2 linked regions of the Oreochromis niloticus genome follow. The protein of the gene in region 1 interacts with the protein of each later gene in a pairwise test. Links are inferred from orthologs where the notes say so. Each region holds a gene or a part of one and is shown on either strand. Other genes may lie near its edges.

Region 1 (10,201 bases):
GAACGCTCAGGTTCCTGCTTGTTCCAAACCTACAGTGATATCAGTGATAGATGTTTGAAGCATGACTGTATCTGATCACCGCTCTGTTATACTTTATTGTTTAATAAGTGAAAAGTGCATTTCACATACACAGTAATGAAAGGTTATGTGCCTTTTTGTCCTCCATAATTTTTGATGTTGTTGTTTTGTTTTGTTTTTAAATTCTACATCCATTAGTTGAGACCAGCTCGTGCTTTATTATGCCACATTCATAACATGACATTCCCTTGTAAATTGCAGGCTGTGGCACATAAAGCTTTAATATTTTCTTTGTTTGTTTTGTTGACCTCGTTCATTCAAGCAGAACAGTTAAGCAATCCAAATACGCCTCATGTGTCTGTGTGCAGGCAGGTTTTGCTGTCTCATATGGTTTTAGTAAAACCTCCCCTGCAGCTGTATACGTGGGGAATGTCACAACCATTTCATACGCATTCCAGTTCAAAGGTTACAGTATGGTGTGACTTCCAGCGGGCCCTCCCACCGCAGCTCGCACCTGCCTCCTCCCCGAGAGGGCTTTAGCTCACTCCAAACCTCGGGAGATACTGCAGCTGAAATTGGGGAGTAGAGGTCGAAGGTGGAGGGTTAATGTCTGCTGACTCTCCACCTCCCGCCTTCTGAGACAATCGGGCGTCTGACTCTAAACTCTCCTCTGATTGTACTGCAGGGCCGGGAGGACGCCGCTGCAGAGCTGACCCTTGGCCGTGGATTCATATGTTTTCCATCTCTGTTTTCCCTTTACCTTGAAATATGCACTGGGATACAGTTTAAATGTATGGGAAACCAATTCCAAAGGGTCCTGCGGGGTCAGATTACTTCATTTCTGAAGAGATGAACAAATCAAATCTGCATATCCCATCCAAAGATTTGAATGATAATCTGCCCCAGTGACCACTCAGTGAACTCATGCAGACTGACAAAAGATGAGTCACAGATGAACCATCTACACTACCGGATTTTAAGAACGTAGTGCAAAGCTTTGGAATATATGTTTGCCAAATGAGATCGTCTTTTTCACTAATTACTGCCAAGTATTTGCTTGTTTAATTAGAGAAACAGCCTTCTAGAAGAGGCCGTGGTTATGGCACAAAAAAAAAGTCTGAAATCGGAAAAGTTTTCACTTTTATTGCTTCCTACAGTTGAATATTTAAATAATATCGTATTTCAAAATGACAGCTCAGCACTTTTGAACACACTAAAGAAGACACCACGTTAACGAGACAATAAAGTCAGTCTTGTAAAACAGCAACTTCCATTTCCTAATGTCTTTCAAACACTTGGTAAGCTTCCTCTTTTTTTTAAAGCTTTTGCCATTTTCTGCACTTCTATTTTCCTCACACAGCTGCAACCAGTCCGTGAGTATCTGTAACCAACCTTCACCACACAATGTGTTAAATCCCATACATAAATAACATCAAGACAAACTGTTTTCACATGAGGACCTCAGACTTTTTCTTTTTTTTCTTCTTCGTCAGTCACAATCTGTCCCTGTAATTCAGGGTCAAAGGACAGAGTTTCCTGAAACCCATTTCTGTGAAAAGCTTCAGGGGCAAAGTTCAGCGGGTGCTGCTCGGCATGGAGGGGGAGGGGGAGGGAATGAAAGGGAGGATATTGTATCTCCATTTATGTGGCATTCGGGGTCAGAGTTCAAAGATGAAAGGTCACTCCAGTTCAGAGGTTACAAGGTACAAGATACCGTCCAGATTGCCGAGCGGAGCCTGCTCATCCAACTTTTGACGTCTCAACGCAATCGCGATCCTGAGCGGCACTCGTGGCGCAATCAGACAGCAACAATAAAAACAGCAGCAACATCAACTTTTTATGAATAGCACTTTGGCGAGGACTTTGCTCAGACTTTTAACTGCTGCTGTACTCAAAATGCAAATTGCAGGTAACACCTATTGTGAACAACAGCCTTGTAAAAGAAAACTATCCAATTTACCTGACTGACATGTTGAGTGCCGCCTCTGTTTATACTACTGGCAATGAACTGAATTACTGTTTAAACACCACAGTGGGGTTACCGCAGGTTAGAAGGCACAGTATCCAGCTGGCTGAATACAAGTGGCCAATAACACAGCATGATGTGATAACACAGCAGTGGGAGGAGGAGGAGGAGCAACACCCCCCAAACACACACACACACACAAACACACACACACACACATACACACATACATCCTTCTCTCTCGCTCACATTCTCACACACACACACTGCCCCCCCCAAACCTGGATTTGAAAAGGGGAAATAGAGACAGGGATGGCTGGAAGTAGGTTATGTTGTTGTGTTCTCATTCACCAGAACACTAATGTTCCCCAGGTCCTTAGAGACATTTTGTTCAAGGCCATGTTGAGTTGACAGACTGCAGGCCAGTGGACCAGATAGCACAGATTAGCACAAGATGACACAAAGAAAAGAGGGGGTTATTTGGAAGCATAAGGTGCGCAATCATTGGTTTAGATTTACAATGTTTACAATCATGACGAGCGAGAAACATTTTAAAAGTTTCCATGAGCGCATCTTCTGCTCGGCGAATGGCACCCTGCTTCACAGTCAAGTGACACACCTGGGAGACATCTCAGCATCATATCCAAAGGTGCTGTGATGCCATTTATGTTGTTCTTTTCCCCACTTGGTCACTGTGAGGCAGACAGTACAGCTCCAGCACTATGACAGTCTCATATGGAGCAACCTAATGATTTGTTTAGGGATGCTCACAACAAGGTTATTTAGGGCACTTCTTACTTAATCCTCCATCCAACTGAAGGGCTATAATTGAACCTGCTTTAGATGGCTAGATTAAGAAATGTTAGTCTTTTAGATTTACTGTAGTCTGCCTGTGAACGTGGACTGTTTCTGTTAACTCATCTAAGGGGAAGAGCAATTTTTATTCCAAAGCAAAATGTGAATGGTGGATTATCTTTTACTACAATGCTATTTTTAAGGAAAATTTAAAAAAGCACTTCCTTAAAGGGGAAATTCACCAATTTAGTGTTGCACTTTGACAAAGTAAGGAGACTTGAAGTACTTGCTTTCAGGCTCATACATTTCCTGTACTGCTAATTTCTCTCAATACATTTTAACCAGACTTCTTTGGCCACTTAAGTGTTCCAGGCATGAGCATCCAGGCTTTATGTTCTAATCTTTCTCATTTTTCCCCTTTTTCTTTTTTTGTTTTTTAACTCTTTCCCCCGCATGTCAATTCTGGCATTGCCATATTACATATGCACTTATGTGAATAACAATAGAAAATAATAAATGAGAAAGAAAATAAAATGTGGCACTCCTGGTTACAAAGAAACCAGTTTTTGTGCAGTAAAGCATAAAAGTCCCTCTTTAAGAATTTTTTTTAAATTATTATTATTGTCATTTTAAAGGACCTTTTGGAGGTTGTTATATATAGGTAAACCAGCTGCTGTTACAATTACAACTGCAACTGTTACCACTGTGGTTAATGTTAATGTAGCATTTGTTACTACAAGCATGATTCTGTCAACCCTTTGGAACAACTTATATTGATAGTATTAAATAATTAGATTACAAATTATACATCCAAATACAGTTAAATAAAACAAAGGCTTTAAGAAGGTAACACAGGCTCATGCCAAATACTGAACAAGTGGCAACCCTGAGGACTACAAAGTGAAGCCAGTGCCAAAAACTGCAGTTCTTCTAGTGACCACATGGGGCTGGCTCCAATAGTGAACCAATAGACTCCCATATTAAAATGTCCACTTTTGCAACATTAAGAAAACATTTTTTTAAACTTTATAATATGTTTAAAATATCAGGTTTAGGCTTAAATTTAGGGGCCTGGGATGTGCCACTATAAGCAGCTATTACCTGCACTTGTGTGAATTATTGAACTCGACCTCTCAGCCATATTTGCACCATGTTGGTGCCTTATGGAACATTTTTAATTGAATTATCAGGCGAATAATATGTTGTGCTGCATGGTACTGGCCGTCCACAAAGTTATTGTTATTGAAATTCTAGTGTATTAGTCTGAAACCATCAACCACCAAATCAAAAGTCAAGTTTGCGAGCTAGCTAATAACATCACTCCACCGCTTTGTCCAAGAAGGGTCACTTCAAAACGGACATGGCTGAAATGCTAACACTGAGGGTTCAATATGTAGAATCCAGTTAATATACTTGGACTAGGGTAAGGCTAGCAAGCAGCATTCATAAATTGTATGGGTGCAACAACACATACATTTATGTGCTTATTAGCCCTAAGTCACAGGCTAACAAAAGCCAACAGTGGACTTGAGATGTCGTGTTCAGTGACTTCAGTTAGTGAAGGTGAGGCCTTGCAGAAAGGCCCCACCTGTTAAAGAAAGCACCCTCACCCCTAATGCTAAGCTACAGAAAAAAGATCAAGAAAAAAATCTCCCAGCATAATAGTTACAATGGTGAACGCTATCTGCAGAGGCCAACCTGGAAAAATGGTGATTTTTATTGTAAAGTTTTAATAAGGATGTTAAACTGGGAATTGAGGCAGCCTCAAGTGGCCATTTGAGGAATTACACTCTCTATTTATATAGACATGCTGTAATAAAAAAAAAGTGAAGCAAAAATAATAATAAAAAGAATGAATCTGAGAATGGTCGCTCACTCTGTGGGCAATATTCACTTTTAAGAGAAAAGAGCTGTATTTTGTATGTAAGCATTATGTAGCAGCAGGTAATGGATAACAGGTATTGATTATTATATAACATTTTACTACAGTATGTTTCTAACTAACCAGGCAGCTCATTCTCTTTCTTTTGACAGTTCTTTCGTTAAAGTTAGAACACATTTTGGTTCAGCTTGAAGAAAAGCAGGTGTGAAATGTAAAAATGAGATCAGAGGTCAAACGTGACATGATATTTGGATGCAAGCTATAATGTGATATTTAGAATCTCCATATACCGGTATCATTTCTTATTTGTTGCCAATACAAACACGGGCAGTAGGTTTTAAAGAAAACAGGCATTTTATGAAAGTTTTCAGCCAACAAATTGTTAACTTGACCTCGAAGACCTTTGTGGATGTTGGTGGAAATTTTGGATTATTAACATGACCCCACTCCACACACCTACAAAGTTTTATCAGCATTTATTCATAACTTTTTGAACATTCTTTTTTAAAGTAAGACAGAATGAGACGTAACCAAAAAGATCCCCTCCTTGGTAGGTCATTTTAGCCCAGCTCATTCTTAATAATTTAAATGATTAAATAATAATCTGCTAATTAAGCATTTCGATTGTATGTCCCTTGGTGTGAGACAAACCGTAGGCGGTGTATATGACTTAGTTTAATATGGAAAAAAACAGCGTTAAGACCATTTGCTGTACATCTAATGTTAAAAAGCGCTTCCTTCTTGGCAGAGGGAGTATGTGGGCAGCGGCGAAGGCTTGTTCCTTTAAGGGTGGTGTCAGCGGCAGGCGGAGGAGGAGGAGTGTAGCTGTCTGCGCTCACTTCTCCACAGCGAGGGGACTCCGAGAATAAACAATTTCCACAGAATACGCGCTCCACACCTCGGCTCGCTCACAGGCGCAGCATTAATTTGTAGAATTAAAAAATCATATCAAATCAAAACGAGGCTTATTAGAAATTATTTCGGACTTGATTTTTTCCTCCCTCGAAGCCTGCCTCGCCATTTCTGCTTCCTGCCAAAAGTGTCGCGACCGTTTTCATTGGATTTGCCTCCTCCTGTCGAATGATAACGATGCGCCTCTCCGGCTGACTGTGGGGTGGACGAACGCAGGTAAGGGAATCTGTACACGAGCGCACTGTCACGTCTGGACAATGTTATTATTATACTGCTGCGGGTGGAAACGTACACGGGTGCGCGTATGTCGGGCAGTGGTTAGATCGTGCGCTTTTTTTCTCTGTGTGTGTGTGTGTGTGTGTATGTGTGTGTTTGTGTCGGGGATCGGTAACGCTGTTCGTGTGTCGCACGGCGGCCAGGGGCGCTTATGGATGTGTCGCTGAAATCGCTGCATAAAGAAGCGGGGGATAAACCTGCCCGTGTGGCTTTCCATTTAGCCGCACAGCCGCTCAGTGACGGTAGCCAGTGCCCGTATCCTTCGGATCAGTGGCTCAAATTAGGCCCACGATAGAGGCATTTCTCTATAAATGTTTCTCCCCATTCACGCACACACCGCCTCTGAATCTCCTGAAACCCTCCTGCTAATTTTCACAGTGTATTCTGGGCTGTCAGTCTGCTTGGCAGCACGAACACCGAATGACTAATGTCACCCGTTGGCTTAATTTAATAACAGTGCGCACCGTCTTCTGCTTGGAGCACGGCAGCTGTAATGTAACGTTAGTACAGTTAATGTAGTTCATCACGTCGGGTCAAAACACTGCACAGCCCCCCATCTTGTAGTTTTAGCACCACCAAAGGGAAACGCTTCACAGTTGCACCGGTGTGTAGATTACAGTTGGCAAGTCTTAAGGGATTTTTAATGGCCCTCCGAGCGTAAAGGGTCTTATAGTTGACTCATATGTGATTGTTTCAAGGTGTTAAAAGCCACCTGTGTCCACTGGGTGTAAAAATGAATTTGGGTTGAATATTCATTGAGAAAGACTTTGCATGTGTCACTGCAGTAGCACTCAGGGGAAAGCAGGGACAGTGACACTAACCCCTGAGCATGTACAGTAAACACAGTGTAGGCGAAGGTTGTTAAAAATGTTGCAAAGCAGTGTTGCTACAACAACTTTATTACACAGTCAGAATCAAGGTAATGCTTTTTTTAATGCACTCAAAAAGGTGCGCACTTGATGTGTGGCTTAGTTGGTGATTCCCATTAATACTCGTTGTTTTTTTGCTTGTTACTTACACCACCTCTGAAAATGTTGAATACCTTTACCCTCCCCAGGGTCCTTTGATAGAGATTAGTCTAGTCTGCAGACTAAAACACCCATCATTTCAAGTTGGTCTGTTGCAGCCTGTCACATCACCTGGCCGTCATGTCAGATGTGTTTTGATAGATCTCAAAGGCTTGGATGTTTTCTCGGCGAGAGTTTCTGAGTGGCCTTTATGTAGGTGTTCCTTTTTTTCACAAATATCTTATTGCTTCATTGGACTTTGGATCCGTGTGGAGGCAAAAGGTCAGGGGCTGAAGTTTTCTGAGAGTTACCGGAAAGAGGGCAGAGTACAAGCTGCAGTTCAGCTTCTGAAATAACCTGTTTGGATGTTGGAATATGAGGCTTTTTAAAAAAGGTTCAGTTAATTTTCTGCCTTCCACATAACTGCTTAGGCTACCAATCTAAAGTAACGCAGAGAAGAGTCAAACTTTCTTAAAGCCTTCTAAATACTGCCTGTGTCTGGGGGTCTGTCTCTTAGCCTCTCTTTTGTTGAACATTTAAGCTGCTTAATTATTTGACCTGAACTTACACAAGATGTTCAAGGTAGTTCAACTTGTCCTCTGTTGCCACAGATAACGTAAAACCTCCACGTTTATAGCCCAACTTTTTAAGTTGTGCTTTGTGAGTGTTTGAGTGTCTGGCCTGCGTGCTGTAATTCAAAGGATCCTCTGTGTTGGACGGGGCTTGATTTGACTCTGCCATCTGCTGTTGTCCCGGGAGCTGCTGTTGAGTGATGTGCAGTAGCCTGCAACAGAACCAGAGGACATTCAAATGGCCAAATGCAAATGATGCCGAGGCTGCTCAACAGTCACAAGACTGGACTCTGAACTCTCTCCTCTCTTGTCCACTGGCTGCCTTTCATTACTGCAGAATCTTATCTGCCATCAAAACACTGCTGCCGCCGCCGCCGCTGCTGCTGCTGCTGTATGAAAGTGGCAAGTTTTGACATGAGAGTGTGTGTGTGTGTGTGTGTGTGTGTGTGTGTGTGTGTGTGTGTGCTCTTGCAGGTGTGTTCTGCACATCTCTTTTGCACATCGTGGAAAACACAAAGTAATTTCAGAATCCCCCTGCTTGTTGCTACTTTGTGACTTTGAATTATGTAAAGGAGAAATCGCTGTAATAAAATGTATTTTTTTTCACAGGATGACTCCACAGAGTACTTGCCCAGCCACTTACCTCTACTAACAGCTTCCCTAACTACTGCCACTGTGCCAGCTCAAACTCTTACTGTTTGGAAATCTGTCATAGACCACAGCACGAGCACAGGGTGGACAGAAATTGAGAGTGGCGTCCGCTTTTTGATTGCTGAGATACTCGGCAGCAAGAAAAAAAAAAAAGAAAAACTAATGTGCAATCTACCAGAACAAGTGTCATGCATTTACTGCAGAGTTTTTGATTTATTATAGACCTGGGAGATGCCCAGCACTTGTGTTGTTGGCCACCGAACATTGTTCAAGGGCACTTTGACAGTAGATGTGAGGAGCAGAAGTGCATTTCTCATCTACTTACAGGCCCGCGCTCTTGTCGGCCCACTGAGGATTCAAAACCAGACACCTTTGGGCCACAAACTCATTTCTCTAATTGTTTGGGCTCCATAATGCCAGCGCGGGGCGTGCATTAAACCAAATCATTTTATTGTTCCATTTATCGTTTGTTTGTTCAGCAGACACTCTTCTAATAACAATGGTCAGAAGTGCTGCTGTAACAGGAAAAAGATTTACACGTGACAGTTGTGCTGTAAATTTCACAGTCAGAATGAAACATTTATCTCTAATTAACAAGACAGAAGTCAGTGTTGTGTTCAATCAACAAGCTGAAATGATCACTTTTCTCTGATTTACTATTAAGTAGTGCTAATCTTCTCTGTCCCCTCTTCCGTACAAATTCTTGCCCAGTGCCTGTGTCACAAATAAAGGTTTGCTCGATACTCCATATTTATACTTTTTCGGTCCTTTCTTGTTATGTTTACCATTTTTTAGAGAAATGCACAAACCTTACCTACACGCCAAACCCCCCCTCCAACCTGTAATCTGTAATGACATTTCTCCTTTTTTTTTTCCTGTCTTGTAATGTGATTATTTTTCATACTAAATTCAAAATCTGAGTAACTACAGCCTGAACCCCCCCCCCCCCCCCCCCCAATTAAAGGCCCAAACTGATATCAGTAAATGCAGTCTTATCTGCTGATAACTTATCGGCCGATATTCAGCTGATCTGTCAGTGCATCCCTGGCTCCGATCGTCTGTCAGTGGCTTTTACATAAGCAAATTTCTTGAAAATGATTGTAATGAGCACTAGGCTAAAATATCAGGGCTTGAGTGACTAATGCATAAATACAGACTGATGGAAACCAACAGTGCTGAATTGAAATAGACATTCAAATTACTACTGGAACACCGCTATTCTAAACCAAGCAGAAATGGGTCACGCAGATAAGCACACATAAAGATGCATGTGTACCGTTTACTGATCGGGGTGTATTTTCAGTGCATCTTCTCCGATTTTTCTCCCCCTAGAATGCCTACACAGTCAGAAAGTGATGTGGAACTACAGAAGTTTGCTGTTGCTTTTGGAAATGACATCACCGTGGGGGCAGTTGTGGTGTCTTCCCACTTAAAAGATTTCTGCTCTCAGTCATAGCGAGCCGCTGTGTCTCATTCAGAGACAGCGCTCCTGCTTCTGTCACGAGCAGAAGGCAGCCAAAGTCAATGAGACTCATTTTGATGACAAAGCAGTAACTGCTAAACGCTGCTTTACAGCCACCGCTCCTGGATGCAGGCTGGAATGACGAAATGTGAGGAAGAAAGATGGACTCCTTCTCTGCAATCCCTGAAAGCTATACTAGCCAGAACTCATCTGTTGAATGATTCGTGCCCCCCTGCACCCACCACCGCCTCCTCCTCCCTTTTGGCTTTCGCCTTCACCTCCAACTCTCCGCCCCTCTGCCTTCACACTTCACCTTGGCCTTGGCTGCAATGACAGGCCCTTCAATTATCTCCCCCAATTGATCGCTGCTGATTGCAGTTGCCGTGAATTATTTAGACTTTGCTGAAATTACTCGCTAATCGAGGACGGAAGGCTGAAAGAGCGAGATACTACGGGTCAAATAAATTACCCACATGAAGCATCGGCCCCTTTCGAAAACAACCACCGCCGAGGCCCAGTGTGCAGATCAATGAAGCGGAGGAGGGAAACGGCATCAAGCTAGCCTGTAGTGTGGTAACATCAAGTCTCCACTGTACCACTCCTCTGGTACGTTAAGTAAAGACTGAGGAGATGTAGCGTGGAGCAGCAGACCTCCTGGGT
Region 2 (10,316 bases), on another chromosome or scaffold:
TGAATGTAAACTGCTTAAAGACGTAATCGTATATACCCTGTGGGACACGGTGCGTTCTGTCAAACAGTGGCGCTGCAGAGTATCCACTAATCCACATGCTAGACTCCAGATTAACAGGAGGGGATGGGGATGTGGGCAAGGGAGGGGTTAAAAACATGCCGGCCAGACCCACTCCCACCCCCACACCCACCCCAACCACATCATCGCACACATACACACACACACACACATAATCACTCCCCCTCCCCTTCAGATTATATTATGCTTAGTGCTGCCCCTGTGCGACAGACAGTAAGAGGATCTCTGGATGGCGTCCCTCTGGGCTCCGTTATTGGTCTTCTGGAAGAGCCCCCCGTGGATTGGACACCTATAAACAGGAAAGGGGTCAGAGGTCAAGGAGTAGGAGTTGGAAAGGTTTAAAATGAGGTGGTTATAAAAGATACATCTGTTTGTTTTGATGAGTGGGATTACTGTAAATCAATCCAGTGATGTCTCATGAGAGCAAGGTAGAAAAAAAAAGCTTCAAATTCACTAAAGCATGACATGTCAGGAGAAAGGGTATGAAATGTGATTATAATGCAACGTCACACACACACACACACACACATATGAAACAGCACACGACGTGATCTTTGATTGTTCTGGATAAGGTGTAATTTGCACACGCTCGCTAAAATCTGACAGGCACACTTTGACTTGGTCCTCTTCAATAAAGACTAATGTCGGGGAGTGTTCCTCTTTAGGCCGACCCGTCTTTCACAAACCATCTGTGAATATTAACTGCAGAGGCTGATTCGGAAAGCTGTTTCTGTATCCTCGGCTGGTTTGTATCATTACATACTGCTTCAGAAAATCAACATAACTATCAAGTAGCCTTGAACATGAAAGCCTCACACAGTCCCCGTTTGCAATTTCCTCCCCATTTCAACGTCAACATTTATTAAGCTCTCCCAGAGAAATCAACGACGACTAAATTATTTTGAGAGAGAGCCTCGGGCTACAGAGGCATATTCGATATGCCTAACGAAAAAAAATATATATTTAAATATATATGTATATTAAGAGGAACAAGGAGAGAGGAGAGAAGGGGGAAATGAGTGACTCAAAGTAAAACTAGATTTAATATCTTAATGGCTTTGTGTGAAAAAAAACAGATAATAGAGAAATCCAATTAAAATCAGATGATTGGCACTGTGAGGTAGAGACATGAAACTGTTTGTCTGAACCACTGGCTCTATATAAAGCTTTGATTAGATGATGCTCGTAATAGTAGCAGCCAGACTAATAGGTTGTATATTTTTAACGCTGATATACCACAGGCTCTGAACACTTAACACAGATATATAACACTAGTATTAAAAGAAAAAAAAAGAGGGAAGCGGGCAAAGTGGCTGAACAGCGGAGTAACTCATTACAGAACGACGTGAGCGTAAAGTTTCAGATTTGCATGAAGACTCAAAATTGTACTGTACCGTATTCAGAGTGTGTGTCTGCAGGAGTGTGTGTGTCTGTGTGCGCAGTGGGTAAGCGTTTCCCCTAATGCCTCTCAAGGTGACTTGGCCTTCCTCCTTCAGGGCTTTCCTTTCAATTCTTTTTGGGATTGAAATTATGATGAAGTAATTTTTCTACAGAAATTGCCTATGTCACTTGTGGTATCTCTCGGCAAATTTCTCAAGTGTATTTTCAGTCTCTCCCTCTCTCTCTGTCCTCTTCTTCCATCTCTCATCTCTCCCTTTTTCTTTGGCTTTCCTTCTCTTTTCTCCGAGCTCTCACTTGACATGTCAATGTGTCAATGTCACATTACACTGAGGAAATATGTGTGAAACAATTTCGTCCACGGGCTAATGGAAAAAAAATGAACAAGCTCTTTATTTTACAGCCTCGCATGACAGTATACATTTACGATCACATAGTGCAGGTGTGTGTGTCTGTGTGAGTCCCTGCAAAGAAGGATATGTTATAATAAAACAAGACACTTAGGAGTGCACTGCTAGTGTAGCTGTGCACACTCACTCAAGCTGCAGACCCACATGCTCATACATGCACATGCAGATATATAGTTTTACAGGGAAAAAAAATCACCTGCTTGTTTCAGGGGAAAATAAGAGGCAGTGTGGAACATGTCGTCAGATTGAGAGGGAGATTCCTCAGAGACCTGTGGCCTAATTTCTTATTTTCAAGAGGAAACTTATCTAATTATATATAAGTTAACTTCCTAGTGGTCGATTCAAGGGCAGCACTGAATGAACAGCCTTAACAGAAAGAAGGATATCACTTCTAGCTCTTTCCTGGCTTGCCGTTTTCTCTCGTGTTTCTCCGCCGGTGTCTTGTTCACACATGATGTGCTCTGTTTTGGTGTCGTTGCGCGTGTGCGTAGACACCGACAACATCACCTCAGCACAGGAGGCAGCTCTGATGATGGTTAACCACTGCGATGCATTTAGTGACATTTTGTGAAGGAAGTATAAAAAGCTTAAGTAGGATTTGCGTGTTACTTTGATGCTGCAGATTGAAAAAGTCAAACAGGAATGAAATCTGCTGCTAAGTGCTCCATGAGGCTGAACTTAAGCGACGTCCTGTGTTAGTTTACCATGTTAGCCCACCAACAGCCTGAACCATGAAATAATTGCCAGAAAATTCACATTTTTTTGAAACTGGAGTGTTAATTGAACCTTCTGACAAATACATTTAAAAAAGAAATTAAATATCAATTGGCATATATGAAACAAAATAAAATATATAAGTGGGTTAGGGTAACAAATCACAACGATGTGTCTCAAACTAATGTATAAAATATGATACTCTTGGCATTACAGGGCTAATATTTGCTAATTAGCACTAAACACAGCTGAGGCTGATGGCAGTGCTATTTGTTTCGAGGGTATCTCTGCTGTAAGCCTTCACGACTGATTGAGGCATAATGCCAGCTTTACTCTGAGGTTATTTCATTGCAGTCCATCTAATAACTATTGAAATATATCTCTAAAAACCACAAATCCTAGCAGAGAAGGATGGGAGTGACAAGCTGAGACATTAAAAGCATAAAAAACAACTGGGTGCAAGCATGAAAGGATAATGACAGACACGATCATCTCAAAACAAATCCACAATCAATCAACCAAGCAGTTCGACCTGACGTCCTTCAAGGCAGGAGGACCATAGATGGATGAACAGACAGACAGAGATGTAGCAACGGGATCTTGCAGCCAACAGAACCAGACAGCGAAACATAAATGGCAGAAGGACCCGAGATCCCATCTCAGAGGAAAGTGCTTCTTTCTCCAAGTTCAGCCCTTAGGCATGGCCCAGTCTGCTCCCTTCCTCCCTCTTTACCACCATATGGGCAGAGCAGCCATTATATCTCATCAAACGCAACCTTTATGTTCTTGTTCACAATTTCTCGCCCGGCAGACGCCGTAGTTTATGTTCATGTTTAAAGTCATTTTTCTGCTATCTCTGTGGCTTTGGGAGGACAGTGAATGGTTGGCAATGAGGGGTAATCCTTCTTAATGGAGTCCCCAGCCCTCAGACGGATTCTAGTCCACACAGCACACAGATCACATAAAGACACATTTTATTGCATTGACAAAATGGGGAGAAACCTTTATTGTATTCTTAAGACACCCCTCACCCCCCGAATCGTTTTTTGGACCCTCCTCTCCCCCGCCCCGTCTATCTTTCTCTATCTCGTCTTGCCCTTATCTCGTTCTCCTGTCTGCCTGTCTTCTAGAGTGTTTCACCCTGACCAGTCTGCGATTTTATCACGCTTGCTTTGGTCATTACATCACAATTATGGAGCTGTTGGTACGGGAGAAATAAGAGATGGAAAAAAAAGAAGAGTGGAAAAAAGCGACGGATGAAATGTAGGTCAGTGGAGATGTGCTTGGGGCAGTTTCTCTCTCTGTTTCTCTGTGTGTGTGTCTCTCCCAGGGCCAGAGCAAAAGAGGCTAAAAGAGACCAGGGGTGAAAGTGCTTCTCTCTCTCACACACACACACACACACACACACACACACACACACCTGCCTCCGTTCCATCTTGCACACACTGACAGAAGCAGCGTTACCTTTTAGAAAACCACTCTGATGGCAGATGCCTATGACTGAGTGTGATGCTAACTGTGACTGACAAGGGTGGCTCTTTTCAGCATTGAGTGGAAAGACACTCACTTCTTTATCATCTTATCATTTTGATTTTTTTTTTTTTTTTGAAGTTTCATTTCATTTCTTCACATTTTGTTAATATTTTATGAAGCACAGCACACCAGAGGTCACCATGAGTCAGTCCAGGGTCAAAGATTAGCTTTGGGAGGGTGGGGGGCAGGTTTTTCCTCTATGAGTTTGAGAGTGTGCTGAGGTTGTAAATCAGCTGGCAAACACTGAAACATAAAAAAGGGAGACAGATGGCTTAATTGTCCCTTTATAGTTGAAAATTCACCAGAAAAGATCATATGTTACCTTAAATGACTTTATAACAAGTTTTTAGAAGCATTATCTCATGTCCTGCTAACACTATTTCACAATTTTTACTGTGTTAAAGCTTTGCCATCTGAAGATAAAGCAACTGACACCAGTGTTTTCTAAGTGTATAAAGCACTGGCTACAATGGCTTTACAAACCAGTCAATCACCTGCTCTATATATTTATTTAATCCATCATTGTGATACTCACGTTTTGATTGTCGTGACTGGGTCGTGAACTTTTGAATTTTCCCTGAAAGTAAAATCCTGCTGGTTAAAAAAAAAAACAACCTTAAATTGTAAGTTTGCATATTTAAAATAATCCTGCAAAATTAGTTAACGCAGTTATCAACATGATTAGAAATTCAGAGCACCTGGCTGGTTTTGATCAGACACGCAGACATTTTAATACCTTGCAGCATACACCTGCTCAGTCAACACACAGTGCAGTGATGGTCACAGAACACAGACCTTCTCTTTCATTGTCCAGTTCAGCATTTCAGTGATTCTCTGAGGAAGGACAGCACCCCACCCTGAAAATCTTCCCCGAGACACCTGAGATGACTACTGTTATTTGAGCTGCACTTCTTTTATTGCATAAGCTATTTTCACCTTTCTATGAGTATTTTGGAGAGAAAAAAAATGTTTTATCGTCGTTTTAAACATAATCACCTTCAATATAACTGATATAAGAATCTTAGCTGTGTTATTTAGTGCAATCACTATGATTCAGTGTGAACATCTGCAGAGGTTGAAGTGACAAAGTATCCTGCTGGGTGCAGTGATCCATGCACATATGCAAAAACTGTTAAAGTTTTAACAATTCAATAAATTAAAAAAAGAAAGAAAGAAAAAAGAAAGGCTTCCATTCAATTGGGACAATGTGTGTGTGTGTGTGTGTGTTCATATTTAAAAATTCTTTTAAACATTTTTTAAAGGAATTTTTTGTGAATGTGGTTTAAACTTAAGTGCAATCATGTTTCTTTATTTTCTGTCATTATCAGGCTAATGCATATCTCTCATTTAGTTGCAAATTGTACTTCTTTTTTTAACTAAATTTAATTTTTTTTAAACTTTTGCTTTGCACACAAAAAGTAATTTTTACTCATAAAATCAACTCTGCAGCCATTTGAAAGGTTCTGCAGAATTATAAGCCTGGACTTGTAGATTACTTTAGTCAACCGATACTGAGAGAGTGTTTTTGTTAGTGCGTGTTTCTATGGATTTTATTAAAGCAGTAAAAACGAAATAGAACCAGGGGATCTATTCTTGCTGGGCAGAATGTTAGATCTCTATAAATACGAGACCAGATCAAAGACTGTTTATGTGTATAGATGAAAACTGCCCTAATCGTATAAGAGTGTTGTAATTGGAAGGTGAGGTTAAAAACTTCGCTGAGACTGCCTGTGTCTCGCACTAAGAGTGGGTTCGGGTTGTGCATGTGTGTGCGCGTGTTTGCGTGTGCAGGTTCCAGGCTGCAGGCTGAGAAGGAGAGAGTGGGAGGAGCGGAAAGTGCTCCAGTCCAATCCGGGCCGCCGGGTAAAGCTCTCCTATACGCTCTTCCCTCCCTCAGCCCGCAGAAAATAGTGAAACCCTCCCATAGAGGTGAGAGCGCAGATATCATGAGAAAAGCGGCCACACAACCAGAGCGCACAGACCGACGCACCGACCGACCTCAGCCCGCCTCCCTGCGCCCCGCTCTGGGATGCTTTTAGCGCAGAGACGCTTCCACTCAGGGCAGCCAGTGGACGTCGACGCACATCATCTACACTCCTTTCGTTGTTGTTTTTAACCGAGGATCTTTCACCACCACCCCCCGCAGCCCCTTCTTTTATTTTAAGTGTTTGTTTCTTCATGACTGCTGCTTTGGGAAGCGAGCCTCAGCACCAGCTCCAGCAACGCCGACACGATGCGAGGTAAGACCATCCCACTGTGCTCGCACTTTCTCCCACTTAACACAGACACACACAGCACTACGAGCTTTTATCACTCGTTTAGCTTTGAAAGTTTATTCTGGGAGGTTTAGGCGAAAATCTGAATTTGTCTCTTTTTTATCCAATGTTAAGCTCAAAGCAGTGTGTCTGGAGTTCTCTGAAATCTCATCAGCCACCTTAAGTAGTCTGTAAAAGTTTATTTGGATCCTTCTCCGTGTGTGTTTTGACTCAGGAGCGTGTGTGTGGAACAGGCCCGCGTTCCTGCAAATTTTACTGGAGTCTGGGATTGGAAATTAAAAGTGCCGCATTATATTTAGCTTAATCATTTGAGCTCCACTCCACACCGGCGGAAATTGCGGATAGGGTGGTAGATCGGATCAGATTAGCCCATGTGCAGAAGAAAAAAACTTTATTCCGTTATGTTCTGGTGGTAAACTTTATTGAATGCTTCAGGGATGTGCACTTTCAAGCGCTCCACTAACCCATTTCCACGACGCTCTGCGCCGCGCTGAGGATGTTGAAATTCATTATCAATGCCGTCCTCTGCACGCTCACGCGCACGCACGCAATAACCAAGACCTGTCTCGCGCACGGTGGTACACAGGGACACGCTCGCGCACAGGTCATTTTGCTCTTAGCCTTTCGCTCGACGTTTAAATTCCGTTAACAGCAGAAAATGCGCGTTTTTCGTTTCTCCTTCATGACTATTTGCAGTTCATCGGTCATTAAAAGTCCAGCGCGAAGGCTTTAATATTTAACCTTATTATTATCAGCTTAGTGTTTTGGAATTCGCTTTATTTACTCTCGACGTTGTGCAATTACCGCTGGCGCTAAAGTTGCAACACTCGTTCAGCTGGATGGTTTGAACTCTAATTTATAAGCCAATCTGTTTTAACTGGCCGGACCGCTTCTTACTGGCCTCAGAAATAAGTTAATTAGTTTATGAGGTGGCCTTTATGATGCCTGAATGTTCCTATATTGGAGGTGAGAAATTATTGGAAAATTTTGATCAAAGGCTACAAAGTCGCCTTCAAAGTAAAGGCATGGCACAGAAATCAACGGCCTGTGCTTTGTCAAATTAAAATGCTGCTTATAGCTTTTAGCTTAAAAATAAAATACTCATTACTGTTTTTTTTACATGGAACAATAATGTTATCATATTTTTCCGCTGTATGTATGTTCTGAAAAGAAGACAGGCCTAATAATCGGTTTAAAATAATTATTAAGCAAACTTGCGTTACCATTATTTTAACCTGATTATTAGTTATGATGATAAATAATGATTTAACCAACAAACCTCTGTAATCGGATTATTTTATTGCAGTTATTACTTGGGGAAAAAAGGTCAAACATCAATCTATTCATGTGTCCATGTCATGTAAAGATGTAAAGCTATCTGCTGCCTCAGCTCCAGCCCATCAAACCTTAGGCAAGAAAACAAAAAAAAGAAAAGACAGGAGAAGGCCAAACATCTTTTCCTCTCACCCTCTGTCTGCAATCCCATGGCAAACTCTTCTGTCACACACCTTGTATTTTATCCACATTTTAATGGGCCTTGCGACTACTCTCGTGCATGGGAGGCTTTGGGGGGGTATACCAAAAGCTCCTGCTTTCACTTTATAGCCATGGTTGGCAGAAGAGGCCCCTGAAGCGTCTCTCTCACCCCTTTTTTACCATGTCTATCTCTCTCTTTCTCCCTCGCTCTCCATCTTCCTCTCTCCCTCTGCACGCCCCAAAGGGTTTTGTCAGATAGAATTAAATCAGTGTGGGCCGTGCGGCCCCCACTCCCAACCTGTGTGTGCGCGCGCGTCTGTGTGTGTGGAGTCTCGGCTGCCCTTGCACAGAAACGTGCTCACAACCACAAGGTTTTAAAAAAATAGAGGCCCCTCATGAGCCGTGGTAATTATCATTTAACAATAGCCACAGCTCCTGAAGCCCTGACCGAAGATGATGTCACGCCATCGCCCGGCCTGGAAAAGCCAGAGAAATAACAGATATAATATAATCATAAGAGGCCTTTTCTGCTTCTCTGAAAACGAAGCTGGCTCAGTGCTGTGTAGGATGTTGTAAACAGGCTCATTATCTCTGTATTTTCAACAGCAATGTGGTGAAGCTCTGCTGTAAGAGGTGTTCCTTTAAAACCCATTAAATGACATTAGAAACAGTGGCAAGTGGACATATATATGTGTTTAAGTGGCAAGTTTTAGTTTTTACGTCTTTATAATAAGACAATAAATGAAATATAATTAACTAATTATGCCCTATTTATTTGGATGAATCGTTTTAGTTATTGTAAATGAATGTTTGATTTTTTAAAGTCATTTTTTGCAGAAATTAGTTTTACCTAAAGAATGTCTGAGCCAATCAACAGCAACCTTCTACCAAATCATTTATCAATGCTATAATCAATATGAGATCAGAGCCCCTCTGTGAGATTAGCATATGCGTGCTTGGAAACATACACAGCATCACACAAGCATGAACTGACATGTATTCTGCAAGTGAGTAGCTTCCTGTGTTACTCAGTGATCCCCACAGTCTACATTATCCCGTGGATGTGTATCCTTTTTATTACTGTTATAAGCCTAAGAGCTTACAAAAGCACCCAGGTCAGGCAGGTCCACAAGTTCAGCGATGGAGGGAGCAACAGTGGAGGAGGGGCTCGCAGGGCCACTTCTCCTCTGTTAGCAGTATGTGCCAATCACCATCTCTCATTCTCCTAACACTGTGGGAAAAGATGGGATGACAGGAAGTGGAAGAGTATGAAAGCACAATAAAGTAGTAAGATAATGGCAGGAGATCCAGAATAATGTGTGGGTGGGAGTGGGGGGGTCATTAAAAATACTTGTCTCAAATCTACAAGAATTAGTGGTCATTTCCATTTCTGGCATTGTTTATGTTACCTTGAAAGGTGGCATGTGCACACATTAAAAATCCGAAGGCTCTGAAAACGCACACTGACACAAACAGCTGCAATACTACGCATGACGGCCTCATGCCAATAGAATTAGTCCCATCCTGCTTTGCTTTAGAGGCTCGTTTGCGAATTGATTTGTCCAGTTCGAAAGCATCCCGGGATCAATTTTTAGTCAAAGACAATGGAAGCAGTCTGTTTAGATAAATCTGTGGCACACAACTGAAATGGCTTTAGTTTACACTGGAGTCTAAACATCTCTATCTTTTTTTTGTTGTATTTTTCATGTTTGTTCCTATGATTTCTTTTGTTATAACAGTAGAAACTATTAAAGAAGCACCTCCACCATTTAGTGCTTTAAGTGTTGTGGTTGTCAGTGTTCAGTGTTTACTGTTGTTTTTCTCCTGTGAGCACAAACAAGCGGAAGGCTGATGTACAAGCACATGGATGACAACACAGGAAGACTCACGTGAATTCATAGAAATTATGCAAAATAATAAACACAGCTGTTCACAGCTACGCTCTGGTTACATTTAACTTCTAGTATTTGTATCACGTCCCATTAAGGGGGATAAAGTAAAAAGTTAAAGATCAGTGGCGCTAAGTTGTGCCTGTGTTTCACTTTCAGTACCAACTATGAGTAAGATCATGGAAAATAAGTTGCCATTATTCGTACTGATTTAGAAACTGAGTCCAAAACTTCAGGTTAATTGACACCAAATCACTGCTTTCCATTGTCGCCATGAAACCTCTTTTTGTGCCCCACACTGGGCACCTGGCCTGGGTGAATCTTTGCTTTGCACTGTTATCACTGCATGTGTGGTCTGTTGTCCAGCTCAGTGTTGTTGATTGTGTTGTTTATTATGTGTTTGTGCTGAGTAATGGTCTAGTGTTATGTAAGAAGAGAGGAGAGATTACCCCAAGCTCATGCAGGCCACACTGTTAATCCCTCAACACAGCCCCACTGACTGAATCGGGTACCGGCACCAGAGTGTTGTTGCGACACACACA

Evidence for each region.
Region 2: the proteins of nrip1b (region 1) and rorb interact in a two-hybrid assay, tested with the Homo sapiens proteins (2 studies listed by BioGRID). The link is inferred for Oreochromis niloticus from reciprocal best matches to the Homo sapiens genes NRIP1 and RORB.

The regions. Positions count from the first base shown.
Region 1 is NC_031975.2:3,167,428-3,177,628, forward strand, and holds the start of nrip1b (nuclear receptor-interacting protein 1), read left to right. Parts: upstream 1-5,452; 5' UTR 5,453-5,789; intron 5,790-10,201. UniProt on the Homo sapiens protein: Modulates transcriptional activation by steroid receptors such as NR3C1, NR3C2 and ESR1. Also modulates transcriptional repression by nuclear hormone receptors.
Region 2 is NC_031977.2:12,081,664-12,091,979, reverse strand, and holds the start of rorb (nuclear receptor ROR-beta), read left to right. Parts: upstream 1-5,999; 5' UTR 6,000-6,366; coding exon 6,367-6,373; intron 6,374-10,316. UniProt on the Homo sapiens protein: Nuclear receptor that binds DNA as a monomer to ROR response elements (RORE) containing a single core motif half-site 5'-AGGTCA-3' preceded by a short A-T-rich sequence.